2 linked regions of the Canis lupus familiaris genome follow. The protein of the gene in region 1 interacts with the protein of each later gene in a biochemical or structural test. Links are inferred from orthologs where the notes say so. Each region holds a gene or a part of one and is shown on either strand. Other genes may lie near its edges.

Region 1 (5,001 bases):
AAAGCTGGAGGGTGAGGGAATGAGGAACAAACCCGCATGTTACCTCTTTGGTGCTCACCCAGTCCCACCTCCTTCCCTCACCTAGCATGAAGATGGCCCCGAGGATGATCCGCAGCTGGTGGGGATAACTGCCCGGAACATTCCACGAGAAGCCCAGCTGGCTGCTGAGAACCTGGGCATCAGCCTGGCCAGTTTGCTGCTGAACAAAGGAGCCAAGAACATACTGGATGTTGCACGGCAGCTTAATGATGCCCACTAACTGCTCTGTGGGGCACCGGTGTCTGGGTGGCTATTGTCCAGTGCCTACCTCCCAGCCCTCAGTGCCCCATCCTCACTGCTGACTGAGGTGATCACCCCAGGGAGTTGAACTGCAAGGTCAGAGACTTGCCTCACCTTGAGGCTGTGAAGAGTGCCTTGCTGCCGCAGTAGGCGGAGGTTTCATCTCTTTAGAGAAAGTTCAAGCCACGGCCTTTGAATGTAACCAACTCAACTAATAAACCAGCTCTGAAGGTGACTTTGTTTTTGGTGGGGTTGCAGGAAAGAGGACACAAAACCTTGTGCTCTCTACTTCCGAGGCTGGGACCTCTGTGCAAAGTTCTCCTGGAACATTCTTTGTTCCTGCCACAGCCGTTCTCATTTCCAACAACAAATGGCCTCCCAGTTAAGTGGGGGAGAAGCCTAGGACTTGTCCCTGCCCAGCTAGCCCGTGTGTATGCCCCACAGGCGGGCCATCGGTCCGAGTCCCCCTGACCCCCACTCCCTCAGTACACCTCCCGCCTACAGAGTCGTGGGTGTTACAGCTCGTACAGAATGACAACAGACACCGCGTTTTTAAAAAAACAATCCTTTAATAAACAAAATTAGTCCATCTGAAACTCCTCAATCTGTAGGGTCCTAGTCTTGGATGGGGATAGCTGCAAAATTCCAGTTCCGAAGCTGTCGGAGGCTCAGTGCAGATGGGGACGGTCGGGCCGGTGCTGGTACGGAGGTGCGAGGCCCGCGGAGCGGTCGCCGGAGAGAGCGGGCCGGGCGGCGGGGTTCGCGGGCGCGCGCCTCCTGCAGTCCCGGGGCCCGCGGGGCGCACCGCCCCTCCCCCCCTGGTGGCAGGTCCCCGCGGACGCGTTCGGCCCGAGCCGAGGGGGCGGCAGGGCGGACAGTGACGGGTCGTCCCCGCACCGCGGCGTCCGGAGAGTCCCGGCCCGGCCCGGCCCCGGCGCGTACCTCAGCCCTGCGTCAGCGCGCCGAGCGGCTCTTCCAGGCGGCGCCGCGGCCTCCCCGCGGCCCTCCCCGCGGCCCTCAGCGCGGCCCGGGCGGCTGAGTCACTGGCGCCGCGGCGGGCAGCGGCGCGCCCCCGGCCCCCTCCGGGCCCCTGCGCCGGGCGAGCGGGCGGCCCTCCGGCCGGGAGGCGGCGGGAGCGAGGGCAGGCGAGCCCGCGCGGGGGAGGGGCGGGCCGGGCGGCGGCGGCGGCGGTGACGACGCGGCGGGGGGGAGCCGAGCGCCGCGGCCGCCCGCCCCGAGCCCGACGTGGCTCAGCTCTTTCCGTGAGGGCGGTGGTGGCCCTTAAAAGGGCCTTTGTGGTGGCATGGGGGCCGGCTGCGGCGCGGGCGCCCCTCAGTACTCCTGAGAGGCCTGCGTGGCCTTCTTGCCGCCCGCAGGCGCCTTCGGCCCCACGGTGGCGCTGGTCTTCTTGGGCAGCAGCACGGCCTGGATGTTGGGCAGGACGCCTCCCTGCGCGATCGTCACGCCGCCCAGCAGCTTGTTGAGCTCCTCGTCGTTGCGGATGGCCAGCTGCAGGTGGCGGGGGATGATGCGCGTCTTCTTGTTGTCGCGGGCCGCGTTGCCCGCCAGCTCCAGGATCTCGGCCGTCAGGTACTCGAGCACGGCCGCCAGGTACACCGGCGCGCCGGCGCCCACCCGCTCGGCGTAGTGGCCCTTCCGCAGCAGCCGGTGCACGCGGCCCACGGGGAACTGGAGGCCGGCGCGCGACGAGCGCGACTTGGCCTTGGCGCGGGCCTTGCCGCCGGTCTTGCCGCGGCCCGACATGCTGCGCGAGGTAGAAGAGCTGTGAAGAGGGACGCCTCGAAGGGGGCAACGAACAGCCGCCCGCCGCAGTCCAACTGCTGCCGCGCGCGCCCAGGGGCCGGCCTTATAAGCCCCCAGGGCACACCTCCGCGCCCTCCTGATTGGCTCTCTCCTCGGGTACCCGCCTCCGGTTGGTTGCAGTTAACCCTTCAGTGACGCGCCACGGCCGAGGCAGCGCGCCCGCCGATTGGTCCGATTTGAAAACCTTTTGCCCGGGGAAAAAGGCGAGGAGGAGTGGTAGCACGCAGCCGGCCAACCCCTCCCCGATGTAGCCAATCCTTGCGAAGGGCGCCAGATTTAAACGCTACAGCTGGAGCCCAGAACCGGAAGGCAAAGAGGGTGGAGTCTGGGCCACCTCGAGGGCCTCTGGGAAACCGGTGCGGGCCCGGGATTTTTAAAGGAACGGGGTCGACACCACTCCCTTCCCTTCCTGGTCTGGTCATTCTTCTCTCCTTTCTCCCTCCTCCCATCCTGCAGAGGGAAATGAGAGAGGGAAGAAATGGGAACCCCTCCCGCTGCTCCCCCTAAAAACTTCTGTTCGGCACCAGAGAACAGGCAAGTCCAATCTTAGGGCTCTCCCTGCCACCTGAAGTATGAGGATTTCAGGGCTTATTCAACATGTTCTATTTGGTCTGTTCTTTCTGTTGACTTCTTGTTACAAGGAGCCCACTGTGCTGAAAGAAAAAAGATGGGCAGAGGGATAGGCATCCTCTTGGAGGAGGTACCTCCACCAATCCTCCCGATCTACCCTAAAATGCCCAAAATATACTTACAGGAACACCAAGAAAAAGACAACACTTTATTGTCACCACTGGGAGCACCTGGCCCCCCAATCTGCTCTTACGAATCAGAATACTTAATTTATGGTCAAATAATCAAGTGATCTTCGAGCCTGTGTCCCTCTCCCCAGCCAGGGTTCTATCCCCAGGCCCAACATATTCCTCGAGAGTCCGAGTGGTGGATAACTGCATAAAAAGCACAGTATCCCACTTTGGGAGGCCGCAGGGATGGGATAGAGAGGGAGAGCAGCAAGTTGAAGAAAGCCACAGGCAAAGTCCAATCAACAGTCAGTACAGGGCAAGACAGGCCCAGGATGTCGATCACAGCGGAACGGAATCGCTAAGTACAAAATCTGGAGAAAAGTAAGAGGTGAGAGAGGCCTGGGCCCGGAAGCTTGCCTGGCCCAGAAAGAGGCAGGCCTGAGTCAGGAACCCTGCAGACTATGCAGTGAAGGGCAAGGATTGGGGGACTCAGACATCGTAGAAGAGCCGGACAAGCTGGTACCGGATGGAGAAGGTGACAGCACTGCCAAGGATCTGTGAGGAGAAAGAAACACACCAGAGTCAGAGCCATGGAGAAAGGGAGACCAGAGCCAGCAAAGCCCTTCCCTGACCACACCTGGAGCAGCAGCAGGAGCAGAGTCAGGTTTCTCTCATGCATGGGCCCGAGAACCTTAAGGAGCAAGTTGAGGAGCGTCATGTTGTTACACTCCGTGAAGGCACCATCCTCATTCTCACTCTGGTGCACTGTCACTAGCTGCAGGCTCGCTGCTACCTGGAGGGGCCAGAGGTGGAGAGAACTTCAACTCTGCTTCAGCAATGGGGGATCTGCTTCATGCTTCCAGGCTCCCCTTGGATCTGATGCAAGCCGAGGGTCCCCAGGCCCTGAATTCCGGATGGTGGCCTAGAGCCTTACCTCCTTGTTACCCTGTTACCTTTAGAATAAAGTTGCCCAAGAAAGAGAGGCTCTTGGTCTTGAACTTGGAATAGCTCATCTCCAGTTTGCCTGTCTTGGTATTGAGTCTGCAGGGGGAAGAGAGCTTTATGTGACTGGGCCACTACTCCAAGAACTCTCCACACTGCGGTCAATTAATAGGAAGAGTACCGAAAGTGGAATCAGACAACCTGAAGATCTGTTTCCGGCTCTGCTTACCACTGTGTGATCAGAGCTGATCAGATTATGTGGGTGAATGTGCTCTGTCATTTATAAGGGCTAATTGCACGGAAAGAGCCCTCCTTTGGGCCCATTCCCCTTACACAGCAGATGCAGAAGGCTGGCTTTATGCATCCCAAGTGAAAAAGCTAAGATGTCCCTTTTAAGCCCCAAAGTGGCTACCTGGGAATGCGGTGGCGAGGGCAGGGTATGATATGCAGGAGCTGAGGCAGTGAGTAGAGGAAGTTGAACACCTGGGGCATGAAGAAGAGTAGCATGGTCTTGCTGAAGTGTCCCAAGATGCCCACCACGGCAAAGGTCATGCCAGCAAAGTAACAGAAGGTATCTCCCACAAACACCCGTGATGGGTACCTGTGTGGGGGAGAGGATCTGAGCCAGGAGGCACTATCAGTCTTTTCTCTCATATTACACGCCCTGAACCCTGGACTAGCCCTGACTCTAGTCCTGGCCCGGAGGAAACTCCAGATCTTCCAACAAGCCTCCAGAACCCAAAGCCCTGAATTCATCTCTTCTTGGGGGCTCCACAGCACTTGTCTCTAACTGCAACTGGGTAGAGAGTAATTGAAGAATATTACCAACTAGGCATCCAGAAAACACTCAATACAGGTGTGCGCAGGCTTAGCCTCTCCAACAGGAGTTGGGTCAGGACCAACAGGACCATACTTGCTACATGTTCACATGGCCCACTTACCAGTTATGGTAGAGCAATCCCAAGGTGGTGAAAAAAAAGGGTATCATAAAGTAGAGGGAAAAGACGTGATCATCCCGATAATCACCTTTGGAAGCAGGGGAAGAAGAAAAAGAAAGAAGGATGAGTTGATAAGGTACTTCCCCCTGCATAACTGGGTCCTATTTCTGTCTCAAGTTCTGTCCCCAGCTGTACTTTCCACCTCTTCCAAGTCCCATTCCAGAACTCACTACTTCTTTTGTGTCACTCAGGCAATTCCTAATATTCCACCTCATTCA
Region 2 (5,899 bases), on another chromosome or scaffold:
ATAAACTTAAAAAGCAGAAACATTCTTCAATAGGAGACTAGTTAAATAAATGATGGTACATCTATATATGGTACAGCTTCATATCTGATTGTGTATTATGAGTCTCTCTCTATGAAAGGTTACACAACAATATTGGGTTTTGAGGGAGAGGGGAACTGTGAAGCCTGTGGAACAGCAGCAGCTGAGAGACTTTCTGAAGTATATCATTTTAGGCTACCTAAATTTTAATCAAATGAATGCTACCATTAAAAAAAAAACTACAGGGACGCCTGGGTGGCTCAGCAGTTGAGCGCCTGCCTTCGGCTCAGAGCATTATCCAGGGTCCAGGATTGAGTCCCGCATCAGGTTCCTTGTATATTATTATATACTTAAGCATTCTTGAGTTGTTGGGCCTTCAAGTATTTCCAGCCTTTAACAGTCATTAAACATTGCTATAATCACTGTTCCGATATTCTGGTCCACATTTCATATTTCTTTAGAGTACATTCCTGAAATTACTGAGTCTGTAAACATTTGAAGCTAGTGGGTATAAATTATATTCTATATTGTTCACACTAATTTATAATCCTACCAACAGGATTCCCATTTCAACAAAAATATTGAGAAGTATTTCTCTTTTTTAAAAATTTTGCTAACCCAACAGCAGGAAACAGTTTCATTTTAATAATTTTTTTTTGCGGGGCACTGGGTGGCTTACTGGTTGAGCGTCTGCTTGTGAGGCTCAGGTCATGATCCTGGGGTCCTGGGATGGAGTCCCGCAATGGGCTCCCTTTAGGAAGCATGCCTCTCCCTCTGCCTATGTCTCTGCCTCAATCTCTCATGAATAAATAAACAAAATCTTTTAAAAAAATCAATAATTTTTTTTCAAATGTTTGCTATTCTTTTGCTTTTTTTTTTTTTTTTTTTTTTTACTCTTTTGCATTTTTATTATTGTTCAAAGTCCTCTCTTTATTCACTATCTGGGGGTGGCAGTGTTAAGGATGCAAATTCTTTACCCCAGTTAGTTTACTAATACTCTGAAAAAGTCTATTTTGATTTAATAGAAGAAAAATGAGGCAAGCAATAATATCATGGTAAGGCTTTAGTTAGAAGAACTATTTAGAAAATACTGGATTCTATTTAACTTGCCTCATTCCTTCAACTTCTAAAACTTAGTATTGGGATAATTTCTGAATTTTCTCATGATAAATAAATAAATAATAAATAAATAAATAAAATGTTCTCATGTTACTCATTCCTCTGATTTTTACAATAATCTTACATTTTAGTTTGCATCATAAAATATACTGAAGCCACTTTTAGTTTATAGCTTACAAATTACACATTAAGACAATAAGTTGAAACAGACAAAAGAAAACAGTAAGAGGGATGCCTGGGTGGTTCAGTGGTTGAGCATGAGCCTGTGGCTCAAGGGCATACTCCCAGAGTCCTGGGATAAAGCCCTACGGCAGGCTCCCCCTAAGGAGTCTGCTTCTCCCTCTGCTTATGTCTCTGCCTCTCTCTGTGTGTCTTTCATGAATAAATAAATAAAATCTTTCAAAAAAAAAAAAGAAAGAAAATAGTAAGAAAGGTTTGCAGCATATCTAACTTAGAAATCAAAGAAAAAAAACCTTAAGATTAATTTTTTTATTATTAAAGATTTTTATTTATTTATTCATGAGAGACAGAGAGAGAGATAGAGAGAGAAAGAGGCAGAGACATAGGCAGAGGGAGAAGCAGGCTCCCTGCAAGGAGCCCTGATGTGGGACTCGATCTCTCGGTTCCTGGGATCAGGACCTGACCAAAGGCAGACGCTCAACCGCTGAGCCATCCAGGCGTCCTGCTTAAGATTAATTGTAACAAAATTCTATTCCCAAAGCCAGATTCAAATTGTTCTACTCTGGAACACTAACAGCTACTCTGTCCAGATTCCGAATGTCATGATGATCAGTATTTATGTAAAAGGTGATCAATAAATCTTTGTGTGTTTTATTTGACTCCCATGAAAATATTATTTCCCTCTGGATCTATTATCAGAAAACAGTCAACTCAAACTAACAAGATAAATATGAATGCAGATGGGTACTTCATCAGGCAAATTAAAAACTTATAATACTGAGAAATTAATCAAAAAGGAGTAACTGGTCAATCTGGTTAGTAAAGCAGAAAAGAACTAAATAGAACCAAGATAGGAAAGACAAAACAGCACAATGATTACCTCCCACCAAGTCCTTCGATTCGTTCTCTTTCCTTGGGAAGTTCTGGTTTATGGTCCTGTGTCACCTCCACAGCTCTGACAAAATCATCCTTCGGGTCATCCTGAATTCCAAGAACCACCCCTGAGTCACCTACGTGAGCTACATACATCTTCATGCCCCGTATGATGACCACACTGGCAGTTGTCCCTGACGTGCTGGGAAGACCTGTCATTGTCTTTGGCCATTCTGCTGTAATAAGAAATAAAATATTTTACTCTTCCAGATATAAACATTAATATTGTATCAGAATAAAAATGGCAACATGTCCACAATTAGCATGTTAAAACTTGAATTAGCATAGGATAAAATTTAAAAACATTTTGAAAGCTATTTGAAAAGAACTTGTGTTAATTCCTTCATCAACATATTAATAAATTAACTTTATAAATAATGTAATTATATTACAACCATCAAACAAATCCTAGGAGAAAAATATTACAGGACAGATTTACTAGTTCCACATGTCTTAGTCCTAACCTACATTTAGTGGGCGACGATGTGTTCAGAGTTTTGATACCTGTATAGCCAGTAGCTTAGCATCCATTTATTCCCCCCCCCCCACAGGATATCTTTCCATTTATTTGTGTCTTTTAAAATTTCTTTCAACAATATTTTGTAGTTTTCAGTGTATAGGTCTTTCACCCTGTTAACTTTTTTTTTAATTTATTTTTATTGGTGTTCAATTTACTAACATACAGAATAACTCCCAGTGCCCGTCACCCATTCACTCCCACCCCCCGCCCTTCTCCCCTTCCACCACCCCCAGTTCGTTTCCCAGAGTTAGCAGTCTTTACGTTCTGTCTCCCTTTCTGATATCTCCCACACATCTCCTCTCCCTTCCCTTATATTCCCCTTCACTATTATATTCCCCAAATGAATGAGAACATATAATGTTTGTCCTTCACCGACTGACTTACTTCACTCAGCATAATACCCTCCAGTTCCATCCATGTTGAAGCAAATGGTGGGTATTTGTCATTTCTAATAGCTGAGTAATATTCCATTGTATACATAAACCACATCTTCTTTATCCATTCATCTTTCGTTGGACACCGAGGCTCCTTCCACAGTTTGGCTATCGTGGCCATTGCTGCTATAAACATCGGGGTGCAGGTGTCCCGGCGTTTCATTGCATCTGTATCTTTGGGGTAAATCCCCAGCAGTGCAATTGCTGGGTCGTAGGGCAGGTATATTTTTAACTGTTTGAGGAACCTCCACACAGTTTTCCAGAGTGGCTGCACCAGTTCACATTCCCACCAACAGTGTAAGAGGGTTCCCTTTTCTCCGCATCCTCTCCAACATTTGTTGTTTCCTGCCTTGTTAATTTTAGCATCCATTTATTAATCTCTCTTTGAAAGGATTCTCAGAGGGATCCCTGGGTGGCGCAGCGGTTTAGCGCCTGCCTTTGGCCCAGGGTGCGATCCTGGAGACCCGGGATCGAATCCCACGTCGGGCTCCCGGTGCATGGAGCCTGCTTCTCCCTCTGCCTATGTCTCTGCCTCTCTCTCTCTCTCTCTCTCTCTCTGTGTGACTATCATAAATAAATAAAAATCTTAAAAAAAAAAAAAAAAGAAAGGATTCTCAGAAAAAGCTACTTATTGTCGAAATAGTTACTTTGGATATTCAAAATCTAATAAATAACATTTTTATGAGCACTTACTGTGTACCAGGTTCTGTGCTAAGAGCTTTACATATATTATCTCAAATAATATTTACAACAAACCACTAAGATAGGTAAATTATTCCCATTATTTTCATTTCACAGATGAGGAATCAATCGTTTTAATAGTTAAGAAAGTTGTTTAAGATAACTCAAATATTAAATGGCAGAGACCCAATATAATATATTTAATCCTAAAACCTTATATTGACTAATTACATTCATTTGTCATTTAAAAAATCTGAAATATTCTGGAATATTAAACAAACTACAATTTATAGTTCAAGACAGCCAACTGAATCCAAACACTGACATAGTCTCCTCACCAAATCCCACTGAAAGGACAGAATATAAATATTAGAAAAGTTCACAGCAGTCATGAAACACAGAGGAGGGTCAAAGCAAATCTGAGGAATCCCTTGAATCTTAAAGAATTAATATAATTACAATTATATTAAGGGAAAAATCAGAATGTAAAATCTATAATCCAATAAGTGAAAAGCACAGTCATAAAGAAGGCAATACATCAGTTTTCCCTGGTAACAGAGTCCTGAAAAGCTCAAACTCAGAGATTGGGCAAAGGCTGAGGTAGCAATCAATGATATAAGCTTGGCAGATTTATTTTAAAACTGCAAAAGCTAGGTCAGCGCCTAAACTCTCCACACAGTAAAAGGTGAAACATTTTAGTTCCTATGCTAACAGTACCTATAATACTTCTCTTTTAAGCAAAGTGATGCATCTGTTGATAGAAACCACAGGGTCTCAACAGCGATGAGGTGGAAGAAATAGGACCTAAGAAACCTGATGTGGTGCCACACAACTTTCATAGCCACAAGGCTTCTCTAGTATATTTATTCTAATTAGAGTTCTTTTCTTTACGTTATTACATATGCTGAAAAGACATTTCTTGAATCCTACAAAGCATCTCCTCATCTCATTCTACAGATAGAATCTACACTACAGAATCCCGTTACTCGCAGCAGAGGGCTAGTTGCAGTATATGAAATAATGACCCTCACAATTGCTGAGGGAAACCAGAATGGCTACCAATATTGATGAAGTCAGAAATTCATACACATACACATGTAAAACCATCTGCAACAGTACCAGACACCCAGTAAGTGCTCGATAAATGTTAATTTTTGTTGTTATAACCATTATTTATGAAGAACAAACAGCCTAAGAGGCATCAAGAGCAGTACACAAAGAGAAAACCGCCCCCAAGAAAATATCTGTGGAAGAATCAAAAGAATCTATAGACTACTGGCATTGATAAGGTCCAGTAAAGTTACTGAATATAAACATTGTTATATATAAAAAAAAATCCATGCTATTTCTGTAAATCACCACCAACAACAACAAAAAAAAAAATTACAAAATGTGACTTAAATAAGATACCATTCACAACAGCAACAAAAGGTATATGGTATCTAGGAACAATGCTAACAAATTTCTAACAAGACCTTTATGGAAAAGTTATAAACTAGTGGACCAAAAGAACAGAATAGTCAGCACAGAAACAGACCCATGCATCCTCAAACACCTGATATATGAACAGTGGAGAAAAGACGGACTTTCAGGGGCACCTGGGTGGCTCAGTTAAGCATCTGCCTTCAGTTCAGGTCATGATCCCAGGGTCTTGGGATGGAGCCTGGCATTGGACCCCTGTTCAGTGGGACGTCTGCTTCTCTCTCTCCCTTTGCCCCTCCTCCTTACTTGTTCCCCCTCCAAAGAAATAAACAAAATCTTAAAAAAAAAAAAAAAAAGCTGACTTTCATTACATGGAATTGGGACAAGATTTTTAAAAAAGCAAAAACAAAAACACACTTTGGGTCTTTGATGCCAAGCACAAAAAAAAAAAACAAAAAAAAAAAAACACAATTAAATGACCTAATATGAAAATCAAAGCTAAAATGCTTAGAAAATATATAGGAAGGTACATTCATGACCTCAGAATAGGAAAGGTATTCCTAAAGACAAAGAATGGCCTCGCCATATAAAG

The links. The genes of interacting proteins can lie anywhere in the genome.
Region 2: of the proteins of H2AX (region 1) and PPM1D, one has a biochemical effect on the other in vitro, tested with the Homo sapiens proteins (3 studies listed by BioGRID and IntAct). The link is inferred for Canis lupus familiaris from reciprocal best matches to the Homo sapiens genes H2AX and PPM1D.

What each region holds. Positions count from the first base shown.
Region 1 is NC_049226.1:14,788,944-14,793,944, reverse strand, and holds H2AX (histone H2AX), read right to left. Parts: upstream 2,147-5,001; 5' UTR 2,044-2,146; coding exon 1,612-2,043; 3' UTR 1,455-1,611; downstream 1-1,454. Other genes in the region: HMBS (porphobilinogen deaminase), read left to right, coding at 86-259; DPAGT1 (UDP-N-acetylglucosamine--dolichyl-phosphate N-acetylglucosaminephosphotransferase), read right to left, coding at 3,333-3,398, 3,481-3,636, 3,797-3,884, 4,198-4,386, 4,727-4,811. UniProt on the Homo sapiens protein: Variant histone H2A which replaces conventional H2A in a subset of nucleosomes. Nucleosomes wrap and compact DNA into chromatin, limiting DNA accessibility to the cellular machineries which require DNA as a template.
Region 2 is NC_049230.1:35,860,268-35,866,166, forward strand, and holds part of PPM1D (protein phosphatase 1D), read right to left. Parts: intron 2,427-5,899; coding exon 2,198-2,426; intron 1-2,197. UniProt on the Homo sapiens protein: Involved in the negative regulation of p53 expression. Required for the relief of p53-dependent checkpoint mediated cell cycle arrest.